Linked DNA regions of Oryzias latipes. The protein of the gene in region 6 interacts with the protein of the main gene of each other region in a pairwise test. Links are inferred from orthologs where the notes say so. Each region holds a gene or a part of one and is shown on either strand. Other genes may lie near its edges. The genes, in order: nup160, stx18, immt, kifap3, srgap2, disc1 and rtraf.

What was found.
Region 1: the proteins of disc1 (region 6) and nup160 interact in binary tests that used the Homo sapiens proteins (3 or more experiments, as listed by UniProt). The link is inferred for Oryzias latipes from reciprocal best matches to the Homo sapiens genes DISC1 and NUP160.
Region 2: the proteins of disc1 (region 6) and stx18 interact in a two-hybrid assay, tested with the Homo sapiens proteins (2 studies listed by BioGRID and IntAct). The link is inferred for Oryzias latipes from reciprocal best matches to the Homo sapiens genes DISC1 and STX18.
Region 3: the proteins of disc1 (region 6) and immt interact in binary tests that used the Homo sapiens proteins (3 or more experiments, as listed by UniProt). The link is inferred for Oryzias latipes from reciprocal best matches to the Homo sapiens genes DISC1 and IMMT.
Region 4: the proteins of disc1 (region 6) and kifap3 interact in a two-hybrid assay, tested with the Homo sapiens proteins (2 studies listed by BioGRID and IntAct). The link is inferred for Oryzias latipes from reciprocal best matches to the Homo sapiens genes DISC1 and KIFAP3.
Region 5: the proteins of disc1 (region 6) and srgap2 interact in a two-hybrid assay, tested with the Homo sapiens proteins (2 studies listed by BioGRID and IntAct). The link is inferred for Oryzias latipes from reciprocal best matches to the Homo sapiens genes DISC1 and SRGAP2.
Region 7: the proteins of disc1 (region 6) and rtraf interact in a two-hybrid assay, tested with the Homo sapiens proteins (2 studies listed by BioGRID and IntAct). The link is inferred for Oryzias latipes from reciprocal best matches to the Homo sapiens genes DISC1 and RTRAF.

What each region holds. Positions count from the first base shown.
Region 1 is NC_019864.2:4,341,703-4,345,143, reverse strand, and holds part of nup160 (nuclear pore complex protein Nup160), read right to left. Parts: intron 3,299-3,441; coding exon 3,165-3,298; intron 2,239-3,164; coding exon 2,078-2,238; intron 1,978-2,077; coding exon 1,841-1,977; intron 1,216-1,840; coding exon 1,145-1,215; intron 761-1,144; coding exon 610-760; intron 504-609; coding exon 434-503; intron 352-433; coding exon 253-351; intron 180-252; coding exon 66-179; intron 1-65. UniProt on the Homo sapiens protein: Functions as a component of the nuclear pore complex (NPC). Involved in poly(A)+ RNA transport.
Region 2 is NC_019863.2:30,760,718-30,764,791, reverse strand, and holds the start of stx18 (syntaxin-18), read right to left. Parts: upstream 2,801-4,074; 5' UTR 2,785-2,800; coding exon 2,593-2,784; intron 1-2,592. Other genes in the region: uncharacterized protein LOC101155681, read left to right, coding at 3,119-3,407, 3,495-3,627. UniProt on the Homo sapiens protein: Syntaxin that may be involved in targeting and fusion of Golgi-derived retrograde transport vesicles with the ER.
Region 3 is NC_019868.2:4,714,172-4,717,671, reverse strand, and holds part of immt (MICOS complex subunit MIC60), read right to left. Parts: intron 2,476-3,500; coding exon 2,346-2,475; intron 2,225-2,345; coding exon 2,001-2,224; intron 693-2,000; coding exon 561-692; intron 1-560. UniProt on the Homo sapiens protein: Component of the MICOS complex, a large protein complex of the mitochondrial inner membrane that plays crucial roles in the maintenance of crista junctions, inner membrane architecture, and formation of contact sites to the outer membrane.
Region 4 is NC_019875.2:21,195,307-21,199,438, forward strand, and holds the start of kifap3 (kinesin-associated protein 3), read right to left. Parts: upstream 2,801-4,132; 5' UTR 2,636-2,800; coding exon 2,607-2,635; intron 500-2,606; coding exon 368-499; intron 123-367; coding exon 1-122. UniProt on the Homo sapiens protein: Involved in tethering the chromosomes to the spindle pole and in chromosome movement. Binds to the tail domain of the KIF3A/KIF3B heterodimer to form a heterotrimeric KIF3 complex and may regulate the membrane binding of this complex.
Region 5 is NC_019863.2:28,127,926-28,132,181, reverse strand, and holds the start of srgap2 (SLIT-ROBO Rho GTPase-activating protein 2), read left to right. Parts: upstream 1-1,456; 5' UTR 1,457-1,516; exon of another isoform or gene 1,517-2,343; intron 2,344-2,353; 5' UTR 2,354-2,800; coding exon 2,801-2,867; intron 2,868-4,256. Other genes in the region: protein FAM72A, read right to left, coding at 272-366, 460-584, 1,055-1,132, 1,305-1,456. UniProt on the Homo sapiens protein: Postsynaptic RAC1 GTPase activating protein (GAP) that plays a key role in neuronal morphogenesis and migration mainly during development of the cerebral cortex. Regulates excitatory and inhibitory synapse maturation and density in cortical pyramidal neurons.
Region 6 is NC_019873.2:28,410,448-28,414,574, forward strand, and holds the start of disc1 (disrupted in schizophrenia 1 protein), read left to right. Parts: upstream 1-1,327; 5' UTR 1,328-2,194; coding exon 2,195-2,264; intron 2,265-4,127. UniProt on the Homo sapiens protein: Involved in the regulation of multiple aspects of embryonic and adult neurogenesis. Required for neural progenitor proliferation in the ventrical/subventrical zone during embryonic brain development and in the adult dentate gyrus of the hippocampus.
Region 7 is NC_019860.2:16,861,878-16,865,858, reverse strand, and holds the start of rtraf (RNA transcription, translation and transport factor protein), read right to left. Parts: upstream 2,801-3,981; 5' UTR 2,689-2,800; coding exon 2,628-2,688; intron 2,186-2,627; coding exon 2,061-2,185; intron 1,990-2,060; coding exon 1,890-1,989; intron 559-1,889; coding exon 481-558; intron 400-480; coding exon 311-399; intron 199-310; coding exon 130-198; intron 1-129. Other genes in the region: histone deacetylase complex subunit SAP18, read right to left, coding at 3,005-3,161, 3,231-3,353, 3,453-3,562. UniProt on the Homo sapiens protein: RNA-binding protein involved in modulation of mRNA transcription by Polymerase II. Component of the tRNA-splicing ligase complex and is required for tRNA ligation.

The DNA.
Region 1 (3,441 bases), on a different chromosome or scaffold from region 6:
CAGTCAGCTGGGACTCTGGAAGGACGGGGGTGAGGGTGGAGCGTGCTCCACCTGTGGGTTCTGACCTTATTGTAGTACTGCATTCTGGGTGGAGCTTCCTCATCCTCGCTCGCCACCAGCTTCATCAGGAAGTCCTCTTTCTCCACCTCGGAGGCCGCTTCCTGGAAACACTGCAGGGCCTGGACAAGAGACAGGAAGTGAAGTAGCGGGACGTCCCAGCAGGTCGCGGGTCTTCATCACGCTAAGACTCACCTTCTGCCCCTCCCCATTGGCCAGGTAACACTGACCCAGAACAAAGCGGCAGGAGCCCACGTTCACCTGACACCAGGGGCTGATCAGCCTCACGTACTCCTGCACACACGCACATACAGGTGTGTGCACGTGCACACAAAGTGTTAAGCAGCTCCTCCCCATGGTTCAGGTGTGCACTCACCTGCAACTGCAGGTACTGACAGCCAGCCAGCAGGCACTCAGGGAACTGGAAACCAGGGTTACTGGGCCAACTGGGAGACAGCTGTTAAGACCAGTGACAGACTGCTGTGCACACGCATGCACACGCACTTGACATCGTGTCATGAAAAACCAGATTAAAGCAGACAGGAAGGATACAGCAGCTGAGCCAGCAGCTGGACCACGCTGGAGATGACTGTGCTCCAGAGGAGCAGGGAGGGGATCTGCTGATGGGAAAACATCTGAGAGACTACCAGCTTCCTGCCTGCAGTCCGGTAGAAGAGCTCCACCACTGTCTGAGGACAGAGGCCTGTGGGGAAGGAGATCAGGATCAACTCCAGGAGGAGGTGAAACAGCCCCACTGGGTCTGAGTGAAGGCCTCACAGCAGGAGGTGAGCAGCTCAAACCGGTCCATGACAGCTTCTCCATCATCACAGCCGTATTTTAAGGCCCCCACCAGCAATTACTTTACATTTGAAGTACAAAATGAACAGGATTCTAAGTGATGGGGGGAGGGCTCGCTGCCTGAGGTTGACCACAGGACGGTTTCAGTGGGATGAAAGGGTCCGGGCTCACATTCATGCAGCTGCTTCAATCCAACACTGACGCTGCAGGCACTCAAACATGCTCAGACTCTGTCAGCGCTCCACAGTGTGTGTGTGCGTGCGTCTGTGTGTACATGCGTGTGTCTGACCCAGTCGGCCGCAGCAGATGCTCGGTGTGTCCGTCAGTTCCAGGGCTGTGAGGTTCTGTAAGTTCACGTCTCTGAAACGGATCACAGAAGAACTATCATTTCCAGCACCGTGGTCCTCCTTGGGATAAGGATAAGGCCCCACCCACAAACACCTGATATGAAGCATTGGTATCCCTGTAGACACAGCCAACCAGCTACAGCCTCCACCTTAATGATCAGACCATTGACTGTATAACTGGACTGAGTGAGCCCTCCCCCATGGCGTTTCAAACAGGAAGTACCTGCTGGTTCCAAGAAACCAAAATCCCATAGAGAGATAAACAGCTGTTATTCTACTGGTCAGAAGAACTATTCTTGATCTGACACCTTTTTCTAACATGATCCTCATTTTTTATTATCATTTTCTTTATTACGAGGTATTTAAGTAATAAACTGACCGATCAGATGCCTCAATAAAAGCATGTCCAGGATTTACATTTGATTTCCTTTTTTTCAAGTGGTAGGGGTGTGGATGTCCAACAAGCTCACTCCTGATTGGTAAGAAAAGAAACGGCTGACTCAGACCAATCACTGCTCTCTGATGTTGGCTGTCACCAACATGGTGCCGTTCATATGGCCAGAAGTGAACCACTTTCTATGGGTGACGTCCCACTCACTCAGTCCAGTTCTCAGGAACAATCAATGGCTCATACTCACATTGTGTCCATGGCAACAGAGGAGGCCAGGCTGCAGCTGACATGTTTGAGTAGGTGATAGGAGGAGAGAAGGTGGGACGTCCGGGGGATCAGATCCTGCTGGAGCTGCAGCAGCTGGTTCCCTCCTCCAAGAAAAACCTGGACAGACAAGAGAGAGCATGAAGAAGTGCAGCACAAGAAACGCTTCCTCCAGTCATCCATTCTCCTTCTGCAGTGGCTCTTGAAGTGCTGAACATACATTGTCTCCAAAGTGCAGGTAGAGCTTCTGCAGGATGAGGAGGTCTCTGCAGAACATGGCCCGGGTCATGGCCATGTGACAAACAGCCTGACCCAAGAGAGACACGGCGGTGCTGCTGCTGTACAGACGAGACAGGCTGAGCCTGGAGCTCAGGGTCTGATCTGCAAGACGCAGCACAGGGTTAACACAAGCCAGCTCCAATGTACAGCAAAATTCATCCACAAGTGCTTCATAGAAAAGGACATATTAAATGTTGCAGGCCGTGGTGCAGAGGTAGAGCGGTGAACTTTTGATCAGAGGATTGCAGGTTCAGTTCCCGCTTGTATTAAAGACCCCAAACCCCACACATTGCTTCAGGTAGTTATAGGTTGGCGCCAGTTTGGTGTGTGAAAGAGACGCATTCTGGGCCTCAAAGCAACACAGAAAAGGACTGTACAAGTATGAGCCATTTAGCATTTCAAATGTACACTGGTCCCTCACAATATCGCAGTTCACCTTTCGTAGTCTTGCAGTTTTCCTGATCTTTTTTTTAACAGTGCATTTTGTTCTGCGTCCTGATTGGCTGTGACTCACTGTCAATCAACATCTGTGTTGTGTTTCTTGAACAGAAAGAGTTCAGCTTGCAAAAAGGCTTTTGTTTTCTTTCTATACTGGACTAAATTTTCAATCAAGGTTTTCAATTTTGAGGTTTAAACAACAAAAAAGTGTAAAAAAATGTCCGTCTAAGAAAAGTGGGTTATTTTTAAAACAAAACTGCCGGGAAAAACGAGGGAGCACTGTCATGTAAAACCAGATTAAAATAAAGGGTTCAGGTGTCAGACTCTGATCTAGAAAGAACAGTTTGTGTTCTGGATCTGAACATTGCTGGAGTAGAAATTTGTCCAAAATCATCAGGAAGAATGTTGCAGATGGCGGCGGCAGCGGCAGGTCTGACCCTGATCTTATCAAAGTCCAGCTGCTTCATGTGGACCAACATGTTACAGCAGTCTAATCCACGGGGAGGGGGTGACTGAGTCTATCTAGGTCTGGTTCAGGCAGAACATCTTTGATTCCCTTATGAGTGGATGGAGTGGTGGAGTCGTCTTACCAGGCATTGCAGATCCTTCCCCTCCAAGCTCCAAATCTGTTTCCAGTTCCAGTTCCCTGAGCAGAACCATCATGGCTGTTGTCGGATTCCGCACATCCTGCATTATGCTCTGGATATCGGCGATTGCATTCTTGCTGCAGCAGAATAAGACAAATGTGTAAATTCAGTGTGAACGTGCTCTCATGACTGAAGAAATGAGACTCTGCACAGACAGGTTTGCACACTAGAAAAGTCAAAAAACTCATTTCTGTCACTGGAAAATTTCTGCTAACCTGAT
Region 2 (4,074 bases), on a different chromosome or scaffold from region 6:
GTATTTAATGCCGCTACAAAAGTACACGACCAAAACGTGGCTGGTGCAGATCTTCTCATGTCGTCTTCAGGCTGATGGTTGGTGACATTTAAGATTTTACTCCCCCGTGGGAAATGTGAAAGTGGTTCTTCAAGGTTTTATTTGAAGACATCTGCTTAAGTCAGATAAATAACTGCTGGGGCAGAGCAAAGGCCGTGTTGCCCTGTGAAAAACGGGTGCACACTGATGTCTTCTAAACTCTTCACCAAAAACTAGTCTTTATCGGAATATTAATCTATAGCTGGAAATTTGGAGAAAAGTTTATGTTCAGCATGCTGTCAACTTCCTCCGCCTTCTGTGTTCTTTACTGACCTACACCAAGTCTAGAACATCCAGAATTTGGATTCAAAGACCCATAACTCTGAAGATGGTTATCACACCGAACGCAATTATAATGGGGGCGACATACAATGTTAAGCCAATGTACAGACTTGATCTGAGGTCCGGCAGCGTGATTGTAGCGTCAGGCGCAGCGAGGCAGACCGGCAGCAGTGCGTTTTGAGTGTCGCAGCACGATTTGGGTGTTGTGGCGCATCCAGAGTAAAAAAAAAAATCTGACTTTTGGCGAGGTTGAGGTGTCACTTCACCCATTTGATGTGTTAAGGGGTGGAGTAAAAATCCACTGTGGAGGATCGGTCCAAGCGGCCTTGTCCTGATCTACCATCCATTTGCTTATCACGCTACATCGCTTTTGGGGCTGCAGGGTTGCCAGAGCACATTCTGGTTATTGTTGGGCTAAGGTGAGGCACACCCTGGACAGGTTGCCAGTCTGTTGCAGGGCCCATGGGGCTGAAGTGACCCCACCCACTGCACCGACCCCCAGGAGGCTGACGGGGGGGCAGATGAGAGAGCAGCCGCAGCTGCTCAGGCCTTCTGAAATTTATGATATTTTATTTATTTGCTTTAAGAAAATAATAGCGCTCTTGCCTCACAGCAAGAAGTCCTGGTTCAAGTCCCGGCTGGGGGACCAGAAACAGAACACCAATGGGGGACCTTTCTGTGTAGAGTTTGCATGTTCTCCCCGTGCATGTGTGGGTTTTCTCCGGGGACTCTGGCTTCCTCCCGCCATCTAAAAACATGCTTAATTGGTCCCTCCAAATTGTCCATAGGTGTGAACGTGCGTGTGCATGGGTGAGTGGTTGAGGCCCTGTGACAGACTGGCGACCTGTCCAGGGTGTCCTCTGCCTTCGGCCGCAAGACGCCGGGATAGGCTCTGGCAGCCCCGTGACCCCGAAAGGGATCAAACAGATTAGAAGATGAATGAATGCATTGAGAAAATAATTTTTAATAAATTCCGTCTCAGATTTTTTCGTAAGGGAAAGTCAAAATTAGCTCTTTTTTATGACTCTTTTAAAGCTGAAGTAGACAAGCTTGATATTCAACGATGTCGACTGTTAACTGTCCACATGGGAAAAGCAGCAGACATGCAGGTAGCGAAAGGGAGAAGATTCTTCTTCTTCTTCTGCGTATTTACTGTTGTCTACCACCTGTAATAGGAAGAGGCTCAGTGTGCAAAGTGAAAGCTGTGAAAATCCCGCAAATCTTGCTCCAGACGTTTTGTTTTCACAGCTTTGTTCCTGTAAATGTCCGTCTTGGAGTCCGAACACAAACCGCAAATATTATTGTCTCCTTCGAAATCATGTTTACAACGGTTGGTACTTCCGTGGCGGACGCCACCCTCATGTCACTACTAAATCCGAGTCTCAGATTGGTTGCAGGACTGCGATTAAGTGTAAAATTGTTTAACCAGTTGAATTTCCAGTAGTGAGCATGGTGACCGAATTGCTTTGAAAATTCAGGTCACTATATAGTTTTGCAGTAGTTAGGGGTTAGGGTGGGAATTCGGACACAAACACTGTGTTGGTGCGTTCATTGCAGGAAATTATTTTATTGTTGCAGGTGTTAATGATTTCAAGCTCCCATAAGGAAACAAATGTAAACATTTATTTGTTATTTGAATGCAACAAAATGACTAATCGTCCTCTGAAACATTAGATTTTCCACTTTTATCAATCATCATAACAGGCATACAGGTACACAGATATGTATTTAAAATTAATTACATGTATATAATTGATGAAGATTTCAAATTAATATTATTTTATATGAAATCTGTATCTTAGCTATAGTATTTTTTACAGGGTAGTTAGTCTGTTAATAACATCAATCAATCGCTCAAGATTTTTTTTTCAACTACGTTCATCTAAAAAACGTGTAGTCTTTTAGGGAAAAACTAGTGCTACATTCATTAATGCTCACATTTCCAGTAATTGCACAGCAAAGTCTGTAGATTAAAAAAAATTAGGTCAAGTTTATGTTTTTTATGAGGTATTAATTTAAAAGCAGCAACTTTTTTAAAATTAAACAGTTGGGGTACTAAACGACTTAAAAACAGCCAACAATGGTTGTACTTATACGTTTTTAAAAGAAAAAGTAGTGGTGTGTACATTTGTCATATAAAAGGCAATGTTTGTAGAGAAGTTTTATCGTTTCAAATGAGCTAGCATCATCATCATCATCATCATGCTATCGCTAGCTAAGAGGAGCACTCACCACTTCTTTCGCTCTCTGGGTGAAGCCGCTCTTCGTTCTGCTTCTTTTGAAAATCTCATCTTTCGTCGAGTCGAACCCGATCCCTATCGCCTTGTTTCTGGTCTTCACTGTCTTCACGCTGGCTTTAAAAAGCAGAGTGATGTCCACAGCCATTTCTGTGCACGCGCCGCTGTCAACAAGGCGACACGTCATCGACCGGTGACGTCATCAACATGAGACGCCGCAGCGGATTTTTCCCTCAAAGGGGAAAAAGGAAAAGCCTTAAACAGGTTTGCACCGATTAGGATTTGATTTCCCATTAAATCAACACGGAACTTAACCAAAACTCAACATTTGACTGTTTCACTTTGAATTAGGTTGTATATAATGGAAAAACAATAACAGAAAAGGACTAATCTGAAATTATAGGGTTTTAGAAGCGTTAAGGGGAATATCATTTTGAGAAAAATCTAAGGGTTTTCATGAGTTTCTATTTTGTTTAATACGTTCTATTAATGGTTGTTTTATGTGTTTTCCTCGCAGACAAATGCCTCCACAGCCAGTGAAGGGCTCCACCAGCAGAAAGAGAAGACCCAACTGGACTGACCCGGAATGCCTTCTTCTGGCTCAGTTAATACAGAAAAAGCAGAACATAGTCAGAGGAAAGCAAAGCACCGGAGTATCGGTTCAAGACAAGAGGCATGCCTGGAAGGAGATAGTCCAAGCTATTAATGATGCTTTTCCACAGGTCCAGCGCACAGTTTCCGACTGCAACAAAAAGTGGGAAAACCTCCTTGCGAAGGCAAGGGAGGAGATAAAACGACAGAGTAACAAAGGTCAGGAAACATGCATTTTCTTTTTTAAGTTTAGTAACATTGTGCATTTCTGACTAATAGCAAACTTTTGTTTTTTTAATGTTGCAGAAGAAGAGATGTTATTTGAGAAACTTAGTGCCGTGACACAGATAGTTATTTCTGTGTTGAACATCTCGGAGAAGAAGATGCAGGAACAGAAGAAACTTCGTGACGCAGATCCAGCGGAAAATCCAGAAAACAGGCAACACTTTTTCCCCCCCCTATTTCTTTAAGGATGAAAATCATGTTTGTGCGAGTTTTTTACATGTTCTTGTGGTATTTTTTTCATGATGGAGGACATACAGTGGGGCAAAAAAAAAAAGTATTCAGTCAGCCACCAATTGTGCAAGTTCTCCTACTTAGAAAGATGAGAGATGCATCCACTTGGAGATAAATATATCCATGTACGTCCAAGCCGGAATCTGGCTCAAAACTGTACGACTGTTAGGTTGGGGGTGTGAGGGGCTGTAAGCTAGCAAAAGAGTGTGTAAACAAAGGTGTGATGGGAAGGGGAATTTCAAATTAACTCATGCTGCTCTGCAGAAACTATGTCCTAGTCAACGACACACGTTTTCTGATTTAGGCTAAAAACGGCAAAATCATAATTAATAGATAATAACGCTATGAAAATAGATCAAAAGAGGATTGG
Region 3 (3,500 bases), on a different chromosome or scaffold from region 6:
ATTAGCAGCCTGATGGGTAAGAGTGACGTGAACGACGCGTTAACTTCTGCGCGTGTGAAAACAGAGATGCAACGCAGACTGCCAGAAAGAATCAGATAAAGCCTCTTAGGCAAATTCACCTCCGTCACGCTGCTTAATCACATGTTTCTGGAAAATACTGGCATATTTGGGGTTTTTTTGTTAATTTTTCAAGCTCTGGGGACAGTTAAAGCACCAGAGCGGTTTGGAAAGTATTGGTCAGTACCAGATAACCAGTATTCATCCCTACTCAAACCGTACAATCAGGGAGGGATGGTGTGGACAAAAAAAAAAAAAAAAAAAATCAAAGACAATATTCTCCACAAATCTTAAGATCTGCTTCTTCTACTTCTTATACGTTTATGGTTTACTTTATTTTGTTGATTGATGATGATGAAGAGCTGCTAATGTCTTCATGGACTGGCCAGTCTCTGAGCTCTTAGCCCTTGTGCTATCCGTCTTGTGGGACAGATAGCACAAGGGCTAGTCCAACGCGCCCCGTAGGGCTGATGTCCCTGTCCAGTGTGATTCAGTGCGAACACCTGCTCAGCTTCAGCTCGCAGCTCCTGCTCCTGGACCTTCAGCACATCTCGGACGTGGTCCGTGTGAGCCGCCGCTTGACGCCGCAGCTGAGTCCTCATCTCCGCCTCCATCACCTCCCTCACTTCGTTCATCTGCACACAGACAAATACGCCTCATCGGCATCACAGTTCATCTGGTCGGCACCCTGCCAACACAGCAGGGGCTGCAGTCCCCGCTGGGTCCACCTGGTGGTGCTGTTGCACTCCGAGAAGACGACTGCACTTCACCGTCTTCCTTTTATCCTGAACTCTTAGTTTGTTCTGAGGCATGTTCACACAGACCGTCTATAGATTTAAGGACGTAAAATTGACAACTTCCAATCTCCCCATTTTTTTACGTCAATCTGAATTCAACTTAAGACGTTATGTACAAAGAAACTGCTCATTATGAGTACAAATCCATACCTTTGTGCAAACATGGAATAATGAGAGAGCGCTCTCACGCTGCTCACCTCTATGAACACAGCCAGTTAATTAAAAAGAGCAGAGAGAAATATTGCTTTATTCTGAAAAAAAGGAGGGATTTGTTTTTTTGGTTTATGGCTACTGAGTTCTGGATTCTTGATTCTGTATGGTTTTTTTTAATACCACATTCTTATTTGATGTCTGCAGTGGTGGTCAGATGACCATCAGACATGTCTTTCCATAAAGCCTTCTGCTCTTCAGCAGAAGCTCCTGTTTCACTCCGGGGTCTGGTGGAAAAAGGCAGAACGTTGTCAAATCTGGGACTGAATCCCAGATGCATAAAAAGTCTGAAAAATCATTTCTCAAAGCAGAACTGTGACGCGCCTCAGCAGTAAACTCAGGGGTGTGGCTCACAGGCTACAGGTTGTGAAGCGCCGCTCTGGTGCTGCTTTTCAGAGCTGAGATTCTCCCATCTGTCTCTTCTAGACTGTCTGCTGGGTTTTGTTCACATGTGAAGAACAGAAGTCCTAAAAACAGGAGCTGCAGCTCCTCATCCATCACTCATCCCAAAGAGAAGATTACAAGCTGCAGAAACACATTTTCTATCATTCAAAACGCTGATAAAGGAGTATTTACTGATACTTTTTCTATTTGCTTCTGATGGATGACCTTTGTTGATCTTATAAACCGGATCCATGTTGTCCTGATGTTAGTTCATGATGGATCTTAATTGTTTTCTAACAGCACTTTTCTTCCACCACAGTGGTTTGGGTGTGACAACAAGAACTAAGGAGGTTTTCTGCAGCCAGATCTTCTTCTTCATGCTCGCCCTTGAAGTCTTTGATCTCAAAAAGCAGGAGGCACCTCTTGTTTTTTTTAAAATGACCAAACTGATGAAAGGATCTTCTAAACCTAACTGCAGCACGGGTCTGGATGTAGGCGCTCGTGTGTGTGTGGCGTGGCGGAGGCTCAGCATCAGGCGCCGCAGCTTCAAACCTTTCTTTCTTGCTCCAGCCGGGCCTCCTCCTTCACGTGCTGCAGTGAGGAGCTGACGGCCCTCTCCAGCACTCTCTGGTCCTCCAGCTTCTGCTGCTGCAGAGCCGCATCGATGTGGACCTGCTCCCGGACTCTCTGCTCTGCCAGCTCTCGGTTCAGCTGGTCGATCCGGCGGTGAGCGTGGGCAATCAGGGCGTTCAGGTCGTCCGTGGACAGCTTCCCCGCTAACAAAAACACACAAAATGGTTCAGTTCCTTATTCTACAACCATTCAGCTGGTTTAGTCTGCCGGGTTTTTGTGGTACTAAGATGTCCAAGTTAGAGGATGAAGGTGAGTCTGACTCACTGAGGCCTTTCCAGTTGGCTTGGATCTCTGGAGTCAGGCTGCTGACCTCCTTCTGGAACTGCTGCTTGGCTTCCTGGACCAGGTCACTGTACTGGGACACGATCTTGGACTCCACCTCAGCCGACTGCACCTGCATACAGATCCTTTCTATCACCATCATTGTCCTGGAGACGGCTTCTTAAGTGAGGCTGAAGAATGACCACTGCTTCTGGGATCAACACCTCCCAACATCTGTGAGCAGCTGAAAGCAGGGCGTTCCCCCCGTTTGGGCCTGACTCTGCCTGAAGATCTGCTGGATTTGTGAACCATGAGGAGAAATCTGCATCCAACTTACACCCAAAAGTAAGGCGCTCTTTGACATACCATGGCTCTTCAAACTCTATGAGGAAAACGTGCGATTTGTTCCATTTAACTACTAACTTAAATATGAGTCAACATGACTTCAATTATACTCCAAATGAAACTAGTCTACATGGGAGGCGGGTATCTAACTTAAAAAGCGTCCATCTGATTGGTCAAATGCATAAAGGGATTTATTTGATCCGTTGAATACTTCAAGCTGCCATAAGATTGTTTTAGCACGTTTAAGGTAACCATTTATTGCGTATTGCAAAGATTGATATCGCAATAACGATACATTTGCGATTTATTGTGCGACCTAATAATTAGGATTTTGACATGTTGGCATTAAGCCCTTTTTTTTTAACTGGATGGACTGATGTGGAGCTGGTCATTGTGGCTCAGACGCACCTCCGGCTCTCTGTCTCCACCACTGTCAAACTCAAACTCAGAGAGAAAAGCCTTGTGCTGTGGAGACGCTCTGGAGGGTGTACGGATGTGCTGAACGTACAGAAAACTCTCTCCAAATAGTAGTGGGCATCTCGGTCCTCTGCATGTCCCTCTACTGGTAACTAGCAAAGTCGCTTTTAACTCGCTACCATAAATGTTATTGTTCATATTTATTTGACGGGGAGAAATACAAAAAACACAGATCATTGCATTGAGACAATCTGATGCCGGCGTTCAAACGTCTCCCTCCTCTCCTCAGCGAAACACCAGACATAAAGCCCCCGCCCCCAACAGGCCGCCTTCAGCAGCTCTCTGCCATTCACGGCCCAAGAGACGGCGTTTGATTGCTTAACTAGTCCAACTATT
Region 4 (4,132 bases), on a different chromosome or scaffold from region 6:
GGTAGTAGAGGAGCTGCTCCACTTGTGGCAAACGGGAGGCAGGGAGGAGTTTGCACTCCTCCACCACTTTCTTAGCCAACGCTGCCACATCTGTGGTAGGAGAGAGGCTCTTCAAACGGATTCTAAATGGAGAGAAGGGCAAACATTGAAGCATCACAAATAACTGACTCCATCTATTATTTCCATTTGGAGAATGTAGAGGCTGATGCATTTAGAAGTAGCTAATTTTTCATTGTTAATCATTGCAAAAATGTATAACAATGCTAATCCAGTTTTGGTGGATACAACTTTTAAACAAATCCAAACTAACTTAACAAGTTAATCAATCCGTTTGATTTAAATATAGGAAAGATAACAAGAAACATACATTTTTTGTCCTTCTTTGCGTTCACCAAGCACAGGACCTCCACCACCTCCTAAGACAGCAGCCTGAACCTCGTAGTGAACAACCAGAGCCTTCTCTGTGGGATGGACATCCAGACTCCCTAACGTCACTTTGCTGGGGATCAAAATTGAACAAATATGAGGTCAAAATGTTAACAGTCTAAAATGTCTTGTGAAAAAAACAAACACATAATTATAATCTTTAATGACAGAGAACAAATAAACTCATCATCCTCTCCCTCCCTCTCACTCATGGTGCAGAGACTTAACCATAGTAGGACATAATAACTAGGCAAAACACAGTAAAACAGCTAAACAAATAAACAGCCTTGGTCAAAAACCCACACTTAAAACCAAATCCGTCCAGACAGGCAAAGGAAATGGTATCCCACAATCCCTTGCGGTGCCGCTCTAACAGCAGCATCAAAGTTACATCTACTTAATTGAATTAAATTGAATGAAAGTAAAATAAAAGTCTGATAACTACGTGTTATTTTTAAGCAGCCTTAACTAAAAAAAAGATTTATCTTAACTGAAGCAAATAATTAAGTTAGATCAATGTAAAAAAGTTTATCTTTCCTTTTTTATTAATTTCATTTCATTGTTTTTTTTCCAGTCTTGGATTGTTATTTTATTGCTATTTTTTATTATTGCTGCTTTCTTGCACTGTCATGCTAGTGAGAAACAACATCTCGTCTCATCTGTGTATTTCTCTGCAAATACTATATGTGGAATGACAATAAAACAAATCATGAATCTTGAACATCCATACATGGTCTTATCGCCCTCTCATGGTGGAAAAAGTATTATCTGAGCTTCTTCATCCACTAAATCATCTTCAAATGGACTCGCCATGCTCCTTCACCTCTCTGAAAACAAAGTAACCTTCAACTAAACCAGCTCCAGACCAGGTTATGTTCAGAGCAAGAGTTGCTATGGCAACTTGACATACCCTGAAACATACCTCCATTTTTGGAACTGAAAGATGAGGTTATCCGCTTCCTTAGCCTCAAACTTACCGTGGTAACTCGCATAACCTGCTTTCTGGAATGCCCCCCTTCACTGCTCAGTACCAGGTGCTTCTCTCTGAGTCACACTGGTTGAAATGTTAGCTGAAGATGTTCTGGATTGATTTTAGGTCAGTGAATAACATTGAATCAAATTGTTCAAAATGAAGCCAAATTGAAATCGATTGGCAAAAATACCGAATCGAATTGTTCAAATGAATCGTTACACCCCTAGTAGGTAGAGAGCCCTGCGAACAGAAACACAAACCGGGCGGGGTGAGTGTGGTAGTAGTGGATGGATCCACTGCAGTTCCACTGCAGGGAGACTGAAGGGAGATGGTTCCAAATGATCATTGAAAAAAGACTTGAACCATTAGCATGCCACCTTGATCCATCGCTCGGCCAACAGGAAAGTTGCTGACCCCAGCTGGGCAGTGATACTTTCCAGACCCAATTATCCAAAACTCCAATGTTTTACTTTGTGTTTCCTGTGGAACCACTGTTTCATGTGGCTGTTGCTGTTCCACTTTGGCAGTGGGGATAGCAGGACGGGCCATGATACCACGGCCTGGGTCTTATTTTGTATCTGCAAAGCCATGTGTCGTTATTTACTGCCCCTCCCAATATGATGATGTCAATCTTGTCGTACATTGCTGGACAACGGGAAAAGGATGGCCTATTGGAATCTCCATCGTCGACGTGTATCACAAACACTCGCGGACGCTGACTGTCTTATGACTGAAAACCAACAACCAGCTGTTGAAGCAGTAAAACAATACATATTATCTGTTGCCGTTTAAACTAGTCTCTCCATGTTTAGCTCATTAGCTAGGCTAGCAACCCCCTGATTTCCCATAAGCCCCTTCATTAAAAAAAAAAACCCTCAGGTAACAATTTAACATGCGTTTTGTTGTTGTTTTGTGCAAAGCAGCGACAGTCATCTTTAATTGCGAGATGTGGTGTACATTTAACAAAAAGAAAGCAAATAAATAACAGCACGCCTTTCTCTCCGTACCCATTAAGCAAAATATAAACGTGTTTGCTAGGCTATAGTCTTTCGTGAAGTGACGACTCTTGCGAATTACAAAAAACAAATACTTGCTGATATAATTAATCAATCACTTTTTCATTTAAATATTACAGAGCTCGTCTTCTTTCTTCTAGGCCTTGGTCGATGATCGATCGACAAAAAATAACTCATTCATTCTAACTCACCGTTTGAGGCAGCGCGTGTCTTCCTGCATTTTCTTGTAAATGTTAATTTACCCTTTTATTATTTCTATAGTTGTATCACATCTGATTGAGCTTACTCCGAAATCACAGCGGTTGCCCGTCACAGACTGTCAATGATAGCGGCAGTTAATACAATAATACAAAGCTAGAGGGTTAGCCGTCGGTGGGCAAATGGTGCCCTGAGTTATAACTTACAGGGGGAATGTAGACCCTAAGTAATGACTTTAAGGCAACATTTCAAATCCAAATCCTCACAGCTGGAAAAGAAATACGATCAGAAGCAGAAAGTAATGTGTAATAATACAATTTACACATACAATTGTATAGGGCACAGTTTAATGTCCACAACACAACTTGAGTCAGTAAAGGAGAGCTTTTTAAAATAATTCGAGCCGCTGTCGCAAATTTAATTGTAAGATACAATACTTTGTTCAGTCTCATTAAATCCCCCCTATATGTTATACTGTGCTTTGATAGATAGATAGATAGATAGATAGATAGATAGATAGATAGATAGATAGATAGATAGATAGATAGATAGATAGATAGATAGATAGATAGATAGATAGATAGATAGATAGATAGATAGATAGATAGATAGATAGATAGATAGATAGATAGATAGATAGATCTTTATCATTAATTGTCATACCTTAAAAACAACCCATGGTAAAGACCTACCACTTAAAATAAAAAGTAAAACATAGAAGTACATTGGGCAGTGCTTAAAACTTGAAATTAAACCAATTTGTTGCTTTATATGGACTACTGCTAAAAAAAAACATGATAGTCAATATGTGTTAAACTCAGATAATAATAATAATAATAATAATAATAATAATGAAGAAGAAAATGTCCGTTGTATCACAATTTAGCGGAAGTCCAGCTTAAATGTTTCCTAGCCACATTTAACATTTTTATGGATTATGTAAAAACTGTATTAGAGTCTTTTTGTCCTTACTCTGCTTGACCCATATATTTTTGGCACAAACAGAACTTAATATGTCTGGGGTGTGATGTGTCTCTAAAGATATTCTGCGCTCTGTTGAGGCAGCTGGAGCTGTGGAGAGTTTCCAGGTGGGGAGAGAGCAGTCAACAATCTTTTGGGCGGTGCTGATGACCGTTGGAGAGCTTTTCTTTGAGCCCCTGTGCAGCTGCTGAACCAAGTGCACATGTTCCAACCAAGTTCCTCCTTTTGTTCCAGATATACCACAAGCTCCTAAAGTGACAGTGACCTGAGGCTGTGGAGTCACAAGTGGCTCTTTAAAGCCTCTATTGTGGCTCTTTGGTTGAAGAAAAATAAAACTATTTTAATTTTAAAAAGGAATATACTTTTCAGACTATAAGACTCATTAAGCTAAACTAAACATGCAGACAAGTCCCACTTGATTGTTATAGGGCTTTTTGTCCTTTTAGCGAGCACCGATTAATGATTTGACTAGTTTTGGTATGAAAAAGTGAGAAAAAAGACAAAAAGAATCATCCCTCCACACAATGCCACACAGAAA
Region 5 (4,256 bases), on a different chromosome or scaffold from region 6:
AAGGAGTGCATGTGTCTGTGCTTTAATGCTGTAGGGGAAAGAGAAGACGGCAATTTAAAGAGTATTTTAGACCTAACCTGTCAAGTACCGTATGTTTGGTTCATGAATACCCCCCCAGTCAGAGACGTCACAGCAGGTGTTTAAGTTAAAACCCACTGCGGCACCAGAGTCTGTGTTAAATCACCCCTTAAGGTTCCTCTTTTCTGCTTCATTTCATACACACTTGTCAAATGTTAGCCTCCAGGGCTCCTTGGATTGTCCTTTTCCCACTCTACCTGATGCACTCCTCCTCCGATGGGCTTTCCGATTCTTCGTTTTCACTGTCTTCTAGCTCGGGGAGATCTCCCCACAACAGCAGATTCAGACCTGCATAGAAATTTAAAGGAGACTTGGAGTAAATGTTGGAAAAAGAAAAAGAAAAAAAAAAAGTTTCCTTATAGGCGAGGACTGAATACCGACCCGTTGCATCCAGTCTGTTGAGTGTGGATACAGCGTCACTATTAAACATCCAGAAGTGGCCATTGTTACATGAGAGTAGGCATGGTTTACAGGGGGCCACGACGTGATAGCCCACAACGTTTCCACTGGGAACGGGAGACAAAAAAACCAAAAAAGTGATTCAGCAGTTTGCTGAAAAGTGCCAACTCCACCAGAACGTTTTTTGTTTTGAACTATAGAAACAATAGAAGCACTATAAAGCTGAGCTGCTGTGCAGAAAGTGAAGAAACATTCCGATTAGATAAATGACAGAAAATCCTTTAGAATCTGAAAAATAACATTATTAAGGGGGGATTCTTTGGGTAAAAAAAAATAAATACATAAAACTATATTTATTTTAAACATATAGGCTCAGAGAAAATTTTCTAGAAAAAAACCACATGTTCTATTACACTACAGCTCTTTTATAATCAATAACCTGTTTAATGATAACTAAAATGAAGCAAATTGTGATTTGTAATATTAAATAAGTGTGTCTCTGTTGTGCTAAAAGCTGTATGTGTCATTTTATGCCAACACAAACACACCTTTTCAGGTAAAGGAGATGTTTACATACCATTTCAGACATGCAATGTCTCTCAGTTTGCATTTGCAGCTGTCAGTGGAGTAGCAGCTGGCCACAAAGTCAACAGTTCTAGAGGAAAGGATGGGTTTCACAAAGACATGATCAAACGCACTCATACTTTCATGCAGCAATCCTGCTGAATATAGTTTTTTTTTTAATTGATGGTAAATCGACCCCAACCTGGCAACCACAACAGACATCAAAGCAGAGGCTGGCAGCACAGCTGACGGTTAGCGCCTACCTGTTTGGAGGTATATCCGTGGAAAAAAGCTCCACTTCGGTGTCTGCAAGCAGCACCGCCTTCATTCCTCTGGTGCACAGCAGGTTCTCACAGAATATACAGTTCACCTGGGCAACGCATTTGTTTTTAAAACTTGCGTTGGAAGTAGACATGGTAGTTTCTGTTACGAACGAACGCTCGGCCCTTTTGTTTGTTTTACCTACAGGCAGCAGGTAATCGAAACTATCGACTAGTACCTTGACGGTTGAATAACCATTCAGCTGTTAACTATTAAAATTTACTATGTTTGGATATTTCTGGCGTCCTTGTTTAATTGTTAGCTTTTTCGTAGCTGTAAACGGAAAGACTTTACTTTGGCTAACAGATCAGACAGATTAGCCGCGAAAGATTTCTAAAAAGGAATTTAGTTGGCGATGTTAAAACAATATTTCCGACATCTATAAAATAACCACCTGTTTAAAAAAAAAAAGCTCAACGCCCATTCAGAAGTGGTTAATCGCTAACTAAATAGCTGTCAGCTTTGTTTACAACTTCCTGGTATATAAGGCCACTTCCTGAAACAGTTTTAAAAGACCCGATACCTGTTTCTGATTGGATGCCTGGTTTGGTAGCTCGATGCTATTGGTTGTCTTTGACAAACAGTCTAAATGTGATTGGTCAAAGAATTTGAGTTGTAAGTCTTTCTCCCAATGAGATAAAACTGCCATCGGCACTTTGGGATTTTAACATGAATGGATTTTATGAAAAAAATTATTTTTATTTATCGTAGCAGAAGTGTGCATCTAATTTAGAAATATAAACACAAAACAATTTAGGAATGTTATTTTCTTCTTTTTGAGATGAAAAGCTTATCAAATTTAGCTACATTTAAACTGCAATGTTGGTAGTTTTTATGCCAAAACTACCAACATTGCAGTTTAAATGTCTCTGTTTGCAGGTTTATGTGCGCAGATGAGCAGCACACATGTCTGCATTGCCTGACCTGCGCACTGGCGCTGATCTGCAGCCATCCATTCCATCACCACTTGGTTTCCTCTTTCTCACTTCAGGAGAGGAACGAAGACAGCACTTCAGTTTGGACAAACGGAGGGGCTACAGCAGCGCGCAGTCTGGGAAAGTTTCAGAGAAAAGAGAACTTTGCCAAAGCTCTGGTGGATTTGGCCGCTAATATTTGTTTTGGGAAGGGAATGACTCTGTTTTCGCCCAAAATAGTTTGCACCACAACCGGTTTTGAGGAGGCGGCAAGGCGCGGCGGCGGATCCAGCAGCTGCAGCAGCAGCGCCAGGCTCACAATGCGTCCCGAGTGAGCCGAGCAGCCAGGGAGACAATACAGATTCACGGCGGGCTTCAGTCCTTCTCCTCCGTCTTTGAAACCAGTTCCAGGGTGGACACCCCTTAATCCGAGACTGATTTAGATTTTCCCCACCCTTGTCTGTGGAGTTGAGATAAAGCTGATCTCTCAACGACGACGACTGGTTCGATCTCCAAACTCAGCCATGACGTCTCCAGCTAAATTCCGAAAGGACAAGGAGATCGTGGCCGAATATGAAACTCAAGTCAAAGGTAAAACTTTTCCAAATGTTTCTCTGCGGGCAGCAGATCAATCGCCGGCGCGCTAAATCTTTTGTATCAGTGTTTTCCCCTGACTTTGATTGAATGTTCTCCTCACTTCTCCCCCCAAACGCACAAGTGTGACCTGCCTTTGTATTTTTACCAAGCATCTGAGGAGGCTAATTGTCATCAAGCCGCCAAACAGGTCATTAAATAAAAAAATAAAATGTGAACCATGGAAGAGATCTGCAGGAGGGCTTGACTGCTGGCGGCGCAAAGATAACAAAGGCATCGGAAAAACGCGCAGACAAATTGCGCGGTGATCTCCAGATGTTGCTCCAACAGTCTGGAAAGAGAAGAAGAAGCGTAGGTGGAGGTGGGTGAAGGAGTGTGTGAGAAGACACCCCGGGAAAATGGGGTTTCGACACGGAGCAGGGCAGGGCGTTTTCTTCCCCTGTCTCCTCCTGCGTGTCTGCATCATGTGCGTCATGCGCTCAGAACGCAACCAAATGATCAATTTTGCGTAAATGGGTTGCTAATTGATCACCGATGATCAGGCGATCATGTCTGATGATCAGGGGGGCAGATTGTGGATAGGAAGAGGGGCGTTCGTGAGTGTTTGGAGGCTGTTTGGTCTGGCAGGCACACTGGATCCATTTGTCAGCGTAAGTCTGAGTGCTTATCAGATCTGTGTGGTTATGTGGTTCATATGTCAAGCTGGTGAAGTAAAGGAAAGGGGGAGGTCAGTAGATTGTCCTCCTGCACACAGCATGTTCACTCTGCTACTAGAGGGCCAGATCATTTTGATAAGACTGTCTGCCTCTTTTCACCCCCATTTAGGAGCAATTCCTCGGCCCACTACTCACAAATTTGCAGCCCTCTGGCTCTCCTGGTCTCCCGTGGAGCAGCAAGTCACAAAGTGGTTTTTGAAACATCTCGGTTTTAATCGCCTCCCAACCTTATCTCCACGGAGGGGTGCAACGATTCATCAATTTAATCCAACCAAATCAATCTGTCTTAGGCGAGTTGTTAAAGTCCCAATCCGATCATCTTTTGTGGGCTTTTAGTTATGATGATGTTGTTTTTAACCCCTTCAAAAAACCTGTCATTTTTTGGGGACATAGTTTCTGCAGAGTACGCCTTCCCCCATTTCCCATCATCCCCTTGTTTACACTCTCCTGCTAGCTTACAGCCCCTCACAACCCTAAACTAACATTAGCCATGCAACAAAAATGAGCAATATCGAAGCTATTCCGCTGTACACTTTGGCGCCAGATGTCAGCTCGGATGAGGAAAACAAAGTTGTGCATGGATTTATTTGTCTGCAACTGGATGCATCAGAATGGAGCAGAGCAGAGGGATTGTTCAATTGTAGCTTCAACATCACAGCTGTAAGCTTTT
Region 6 (4,127 bases):
AGCATTTCTCTCATTTTGCCTTTTTCCCATTGGAGCAACTGGCACTAAAAATAAAAACAAAAGTCACAGTTTTGTCATTTAAAAACTCTGAAATGTTCTCTTTTTTTTTAAAGCATAAAGCCATTTTTTTCCATCAAAATTGCCTGTTAGATCTTTCTCTTTTGTGCTGGATTGATCCACGCTCGTCCTCATGTCACATTTTAAAACCCTGTGTGGCCCACAAGTGAAATCTGTCATCTATCAGAGCAGGACCATTCTGCCACCTAGTGGCCATTTGTAGAACTATAAATATTTAAGAAAAAGTGTTCATTGGAAACATGGAATTTCAAAAAATGAAATTAAAAAAATAAGAGAAATTAAAAATAAACTTCCTGCCCTGGAGAACTTTGTCATTGGGGTAAAATAAAATAAAATAAAAAAATACAAAATGAGAAAAGTATAAACTGCTGAAGCTTGAATCTGAGGTTAAGCCTGACATCTGCTGGTCAAACTAGGATAAGTTCAAGTTTACTGGAATTCTTCATGAATACATATGTTTGTTTAAGCGCGTAGGAAAATGTCAGGCGTCATTTTTTTTGTCTTGAGAAGTTTCTTCATGAAGCTGTTGTGCTATTTAAAAAAAAAATGAATGGGATTAATAAAGAAGTAAAAGAAATGTTTTATTTTAAGAGTTGTACAAACTTCATAATCAGCCCATACAAAAAATCTGACATAAAATAAAAGGCTTTTTTTTGCTATAAACAAAAACAATTGAGACATTTTATCCTTATTTTACAAAAAATTAAAGTACAGTTTGTCAAACGATTTACAATACATTTTCATTTTTTGTCTTAGCTGCAAAAAACGTTTGTTTGTTAGTGTTCAGATAAAGTTTGTTTTTGTCTTTTTTTATTGCCAGAGTTGAATAAAAAATAAAAACAGTCTCTGCAGGACTAAATGGGAGAAAAAAACATGACTTCAGTAAAAAAAAAAGACTTTCTGCTAAAGACAAATGGGAAACTGGTCTAAAATGAGATAAAACAGGTGTTGAAGTGAGTGTTTTTTTCAAAGAAGAGGCTTCACCACAGCAAGTTTTAAAGCAGACCCAACAACTCCAGAGCTTAAAGAAGTGTTCATATAAAGGACCGTATCTACTTTAACTGAGAGAACTTTTAGAAGGAGAGAGAAGAAAAACAACCCCTTTCTGCTCTGGTGGTGAATCAACTCAATAACGAAATGATTAAATGGAACAGAAAATATTTCCATCAAGTTTTCAATCCATCTTTTCTGCACGGAGGCAGTTTTTGACACCTTCAGGACAACTGCTCAGATTATACTGAAGGAAAGTCTGATCCTTCCTCTTTTCCTGGCCGCCAGGCTGGTTTCTGAGCCAAAACCAGATCCAGATCCCAGCCTGGAGGAGCCAGAACCCCTCCTCCCTGGACCAAAGGACTCCAGTTTATCAGCGAGCAGAGCTGAATGAAAGGAGCTTTGGAGAAGTGTGAGGAGGAGGAGGAGGAAGATGAAGACTCCCCCAGTCAGTGCAGAAACAATGGGGTTGTTTTAGCATGAGCAAGGCGCGCTGAACTCTCATAAGTGCGTTCAAAGAGCATTTTGGCCCCTAAATGTTTGAAAACAGCGGGCGGAACATCTCCACATGTCCGTCAGCTGATCGGGTCCCCAAACAAAGACAAACGGCGGCGGTTAATCCGGTTATGGGCTGTCCACCGCCTTCATGAGGCGGTCTGAAGGAGTCAAATTCCTGAACACGTAGGAGCTCCTCAGGACGCATGACGCACGGCTAACGGGTTCCTTTCCTGATCGATGGACTTTCCGCATTTGTTTCTCCACTCTGAACAGAAAACGCCTTAATTTGAAGTTTTCAGTTGTTTTATTTCCGCGGTTTGAAGAACATCAGAAGAGGATTATCCTAGTTCTTTTTTTTTAATCCAACCATCTGTTGACGCGCCGCTCCAAACGGGCTTCTCTCCAGAGAATAAAGTTCAGAATCAGACCGGATGTTCAACCGCTGGACAGTCGGTGTCATTTTAGGACTGAAGCCGCGTTCATGTGATCCACCGGAATCAAGGAAAACCAACACAAGTTCACGGTCCGTAACGGAAATGAGATCAGGCCTTTTCTCCCCGCTGCGCTTTTTCTGAAACATGGTCGCTGCGCGCGCGCAGGGATCCGACACCGAAACGCGACCGACGGCATGTTTGCGGGACTGATGGGACTGCAAAACCGCAGCAGATCGGCGCTCCACCGATTCGAAGCCACAGGAGGTAAATATGGAGAAGGGGGGTCCGCTAAAACCTGCCCGGTTCTGACAAGGCTAGCCGGATCTCTCTGGAACAGCTGCGTCCGAATGAAGAACCTGACAGATGTTTCAAAACTAGGAGTAGAAACAAGGATTTCTTCCCACGTGAAGCATTTCTTCTGTCATCAGAGTTTCTAGCAGAGTTTGAGAAGCGCAGAGAGGTTCCGGCTCCATGACAGCCAAACTATTGGACCGCTGACAGGCCAAGAAAGAAAGGCGCGAGGAGCAGGGAACAATTCACAGTTTAGGAAATGTACTATGAAAGTTTAAGTACAAAGTATTCATTCATTAAAAGTAAAATAAATACAAAAATTTAGAAAAAGAACAAACGAGTGACAGTTTTCAGTATAAAACTTATTTAACTCAGTACTGTTCATTCAGTTTTGCATAAATAATCTAAATAAGAATTCTGGATTGTAGTTATTAAAATCCAATGCAATAAAGAAATCTGTAAATCATGAAAAGGACAAATATTAAATTAAATAAAAAACACTTCAAAGAAATGTTTGTTTTAAAAAAGAGAGAAACGTTTCATTTTATAGAATTCCAGTTTTTCATTAAGCGTCGATAGAAGTGAATGTAACAGGTTTAGTGCAATAAAACTGCTCTTTAAATTTTCAATTACTTCAAAAAAGTAACTGAAGTGAATGTAATAGAGTAAATGTGACCTAGTTCAGGCTATGACGCCCATCAGTGACTAATTCACATGAAAGATGTTTCTATGATGAATCTGCTCCATGTACACAGACGATAATATGTTCTTGTTTCAACCAAACCCACCTGATATGTGAAAGCTGCCGAGTCTGCTGCAGACGCAGACGCTGCTGCTGCAGGCACTGCTGCAGACGCAGGCGCTGCTGAAGACGCTGCTGCTGCTGTAGACGTTGATGCTGCAGACACAGGTGCTGCTGCAGGCACTGCTGCAGACGCAGGCGCTGCTGCAGACGTAGGCGCTGCTGCAGACACAGGTGCTGCTGCAGACGCTGCTGCTGCAGACACAGGTGCTGCTGCAGACGCTGCTGCTGCAGACACAGGTGCTGCTGCAGACGCAGGCGCTGCTGCAGACACAGGTGCTGCTGCAGACACAGGTGCTGCTGCAGACACAGGTGCTGCTGCAGACACAAGTGCTGCAGACGCAGGCGCTGCTGCAGATGCAGGTGCTGCTGCAGACACAGGTGCTGCAGACACAGGTGCTGCAGACACAGGTGCTGCTGCAGACGCAGGCGCTGCTGAAGACGCTGCTGCTGCTGTAGACGTTGATGCTGCAGACACAGGTGCTGCTGCAGGCACAGGTGCTGCTGCAGACACAGGTGCTGCTGCAGACACAAGTGCTGCAGACGCAGGCGCTGCTGCAGACGTAGGCGCTGTTGCAGACACAGGTGCTGCTGCAGACGCTGCTGCTGCAGACACAGGCGCTGCTGCAGACGCAGGCGCTGCTGCAGACGCAGGCGCTGCTGCAGACGCAGGCGCTGCTGCAGACACAGGTGCTGCTGCAGACACAGGTGCTGCTGCAGACACAGGTGCTGCTGCAGACACAAGTGCTGCAGACGCAGGCGCTGCTGCAGATGCAGGTGCTGCTGCAGACACAGGTGCTGCAGACACAGGTGCTGCTGCAGACGCAGGCGCTGCTGCAGACACAGGTGCTGCTGCACACAGGTGCGTCTGCAGACGCTGCTGCTGCAGACGCTGCTGCTGCAGACACAGGCGCTGCTGCAGACGCAGGCGCTGCTGCAGACACAGGTGCTGCTGCAGACACAGGTGCTGCTGCAGATACAGGTGCTGCTGCAGACACAGGTGCTGCTGCAGACACAAGTGCTGCAGACGCAGG
Region 7 (3,981 bases), on a different chromosome or scaffold from region 6:
CTTTAGTTAACTAACACGGTAGCCCCTAAACGTGCATCTACGACATAGACTTTTCACTGCAAGTGGTAGCTTGAAGGCGCGTTGCCGAGGGCGACGTAAACATAGCTGAACACTAAGGCCACCATTTACCTCCTTGCTCTGGTTGGCTTTGGTGATCGCCTCTGGAGACAATCGCTCCTGGATCAGAATGCGAATGGCCTGAGAATGGGAAAACAACACAAACAAAAAAAAGGCAAAAACTTGAGATAAATTAAGGATAAATCATTTCAAACTTGACTCAAATGGGGAATGAACCCTCTCTTCATTCCACCTTAAGCATGACCAGGTAATCGTCGTGTCGCTGGATCTTCAGGATGTTGGCCAGAGCCGTAACTCCTGCCTTGAAATCCGGAGAATTACCTGGAAAAAGAATGTGACAAAATGTAAAAAAAATATAACATAAAAAGTTTTCCAGTAGCAGAAGTGAAAACAGAGACTTACTGTCGAGGTTGAGGAGCGGATCCACCGCTTTGTCGCTGTTCCCGGACGCCAGCGGCTGACAGTTCCTGTACTTTTCAACTGATAAAATAAATCAACAACAAAAACGGTGATCCAACTTCTGCCCCCTGACGACCACAGAAAGTGGTGAATTATTTCAAAATGTAGCCAAGATTTTCACCTTGTGAGCCTGCAGTAACTGCAGACTACAAGACATGTCTAGAGTGATCTCAGTTTGGTGTTTTTTGTCTTATTTGACAGCAAAAACAGGGGGAAAATGAAAAAAAACATAAATTATTTGCAAATTATGTGCTTTATTGTTGCCCACAAACAGTTCTTCCTTCCGCAATTCCTCATTCTTGCAGAAGCTGACATGTTTGGGGCAGCAGCTCCACCTAGTGTCAAAACTAAGATATTTAATACAGGAGTTTTGTCTGGTGAAATAAAAAAGCTCTTTAAACAGAAATATACAATAATATGAAGTTAATGTAGTACCCAAGGTTGCCACTGGGGGACTGGTTCCAGAAACAAATTGATCCCTTTTCACTTCTAGTGTCTGCTAATATTTATGGCTAATATTTACTCATTTTATTGATGCATTTCTCTATAGACCTCATTTGATTGTTTTTTAAAAGTATTTGCAATCAAAACGGGGTGTTTACCCTGTAATTTCTCAACCCTTAAAGGGCCTTACTGAGCGCGCTCCAACAACTACCAACGTCCAACGTTCAGAATAATTCATTTTGTGGGCGAATTTGATGCTGCAGAGCTGAAAAGTTGGCAACAAAGTATCCCAGAAGAAAACCAAAAACACACACACACAGGGGTGATGCTAAATACTCCCCCACAGAGCTATAGTGTGTAACTTGGAAAAACATATACAAAACTTCACATTAGTTTCTTTTTACAACTGTTTAAAAAAACAAAATAAAACAAAAACGCTAAAAATAATCTAAAAGGGTTTAGAGAGACACAAAAATATGTGTCATTGCACTTGTTCAAAAACAATGATTGATGTTTCAGTATAAAGCTACCGCAAATCTTGTGGTCAACAGTCCAAGCAATATTTCCTCCTTTTATTTTGAAAAGGTGAGGGAATTAAGTCATTAGCAACTTACTATTTTATGGTAAATGTTCAGAATTAAATTTTTTCCGGGTTTTGCGTGATGCAGCTTCTTTTGTATTTTGTTTGTATAAAGAAGAGCAAAGAAAAAAGGGGTAGAGGGGATGATTTTAGGGTAACAGCAGTATCTCCCCTTCTTTGTTTTGAAAATAATTACTGGCTTAATCGCCCCTATTTTGGAGGGACTTCTGAATCAGACTAGTTGAATTTCCTTTTACTATCTCCATCTAGTGGTCATTGTTGAGTACTGCACCCCCCCACAAATGCTCCTGCCACTGCTGAATCTCACCGTTATCTCCATACTCGTATCGCACAGCCAGGCCAAGTAACCAGTCCACAGCTTCTTTCCTCTCCTCTGCGCCAAACGGACAGTTCAGGTCCTGCAGATACTGCACACACACACACAGTCAGAACCCCGAAGGTTCGGGTGGGGGGACGCTGCAGCACAGCAGACACTCACTTTCTGAAAGGCGTTGGACCAGTCCGAGCTGGGGATGTTCCTCAAGTTACCTCGGTCCTCTATCTTGTAGTGTCGGATCTTCTGGTCTTCCAGCCACACGATGCAGTTCCTGAACTGAGTCTCATCTGCAGATCATGTAGAAGCACTGCAGTCATCTGGTCAAAGTTCAACCTGGTTTACTTTGAAATGCGCATTAAGTACTAGTAGCTATGGGTTTTGGGTGTAGTTGGACACAGAGCCTGAAAACAATTGTATAAACTAGCATAGTGATGCACGAACGCAAACGTTTTAGAAAAACTAGCAAGCAGCTAAAAAAAAAGTTATAATTTCTTCAATTAAGTAGATCAAATCATGAAGCTGTCTACGCCGAATTAATTATGGTACAGTAAACTTTCTAAACTATAAATAGAACGACATTTGAATCTTTCTTGTTGCTATTTTGAACACATAACTTATAAAGTTGCTATTTTTAGAAGGGTAGTTTTAGTTCGGCTCCACAATAATGACAACGTCAGCTGGAAACGGGTGAATTTCTCCCCCCTTCGCCGTATTTAAACGTTTTCTTACCCGAACAATCGAATCCGTCGGGGTCGTGATAATCCAGAGCAGTGAGTTTTCTACGAAACATTTCACCTTGGAGATTTTCTGATAGAGAAAACGTGTTTTCACGCCGCAGCAAAGCTAACTACGCTAGTTTGCTGCTAGCTGACTGTTTGAGAATCTACGCATGCGCGACCGGAGACTGCAATCTGTAGGCCTACCTTTCAAAATAAAGTGACGAACTATTTTAGTGACCAAGAAAGAAAAAACAAAAGGGTGAATTTTTGAAATGAAAAGTCTTTATTGAACACAAGTTTTTTTTTATTAGAAAATGACACAAAACTACTGAAGACACAAATGAAATAGAGTTGTCAATCAAAGCACATATTTAGGTGAGCATGGGTTCAGAAAGGACGCATTCGTGGGCCAAGAGGCGGGGCTCTGTTGGGAGGCGTGATGGCGATATCCAGGTAATCCCCAATCTGGAACCGCTGAGACTGCAAGGTCATGGAGTCATCTGGACCCTTTCTGCCAGATATCGTACTGCCGATCTCTTTGAACCTACAGAACAAAACAGGTTCAATCAAAGCAAAAAACCAATTCACAGCTGTTTACGACAATTATACGTACTTGTACATTTTCCCTCTGAGATCAGGGAAGACTATAGCGAAGCTAAAGTGGGTCCCCTTTTTTCTGGCCTCTGGATAAACCTCCTTCACTAAACTGGTGAGTTCTTTCAGAGTGGCATCCATCCTGGCCAAAAAAAAAAAAAAAATGAAAGAAATAGACTCACTTTAGATTTCATTTGGACTCTTGGGTTAAAGTACCAGGAAGTCGGAACCAGTTACGTACCACGTGTAAATCTGCAGTTCACTTGAGGGAACATTTCCTCGAGCGAATTCGTCTACTCTGTGGTGGCGGCCGCTGTTGGTGGTAAAAACTCGCAGCAGAAGAGGGCAGGTCTGCAAAAAAGAATACAGGCATTACATTTAAACAGTAACTGAAATACTGGGTCCAAAGACCTTTTTTAAATGCTTTTATTTTGCAAGTGAAACGGAAGTGTACTGTGTGCCAGCTGCTGAATTCTATTAGACTGCCTGCCCCTCGCGCTATATTGATACATTTAAAACCACTGCATGTGATAAATGTATTGTACTGCATTTTTAAGTAAATAATTTACAATTATTTTACAATCCAAGTGGTTCCAGTTCAATGTCGTAGTATCGACTTTAGTCTCAGCGAGGGAGGGTGGGGAAGGGGGGGTTGAGGTTCTAGAACCCACTGATCCAAAGTTCGGGAAACCCGATTAAACAGGTTCGACCAAAAAGCACATGAATAAAGCCTCCCTTCAGAACATAAGCCCACGCGACCCAAATGTAGG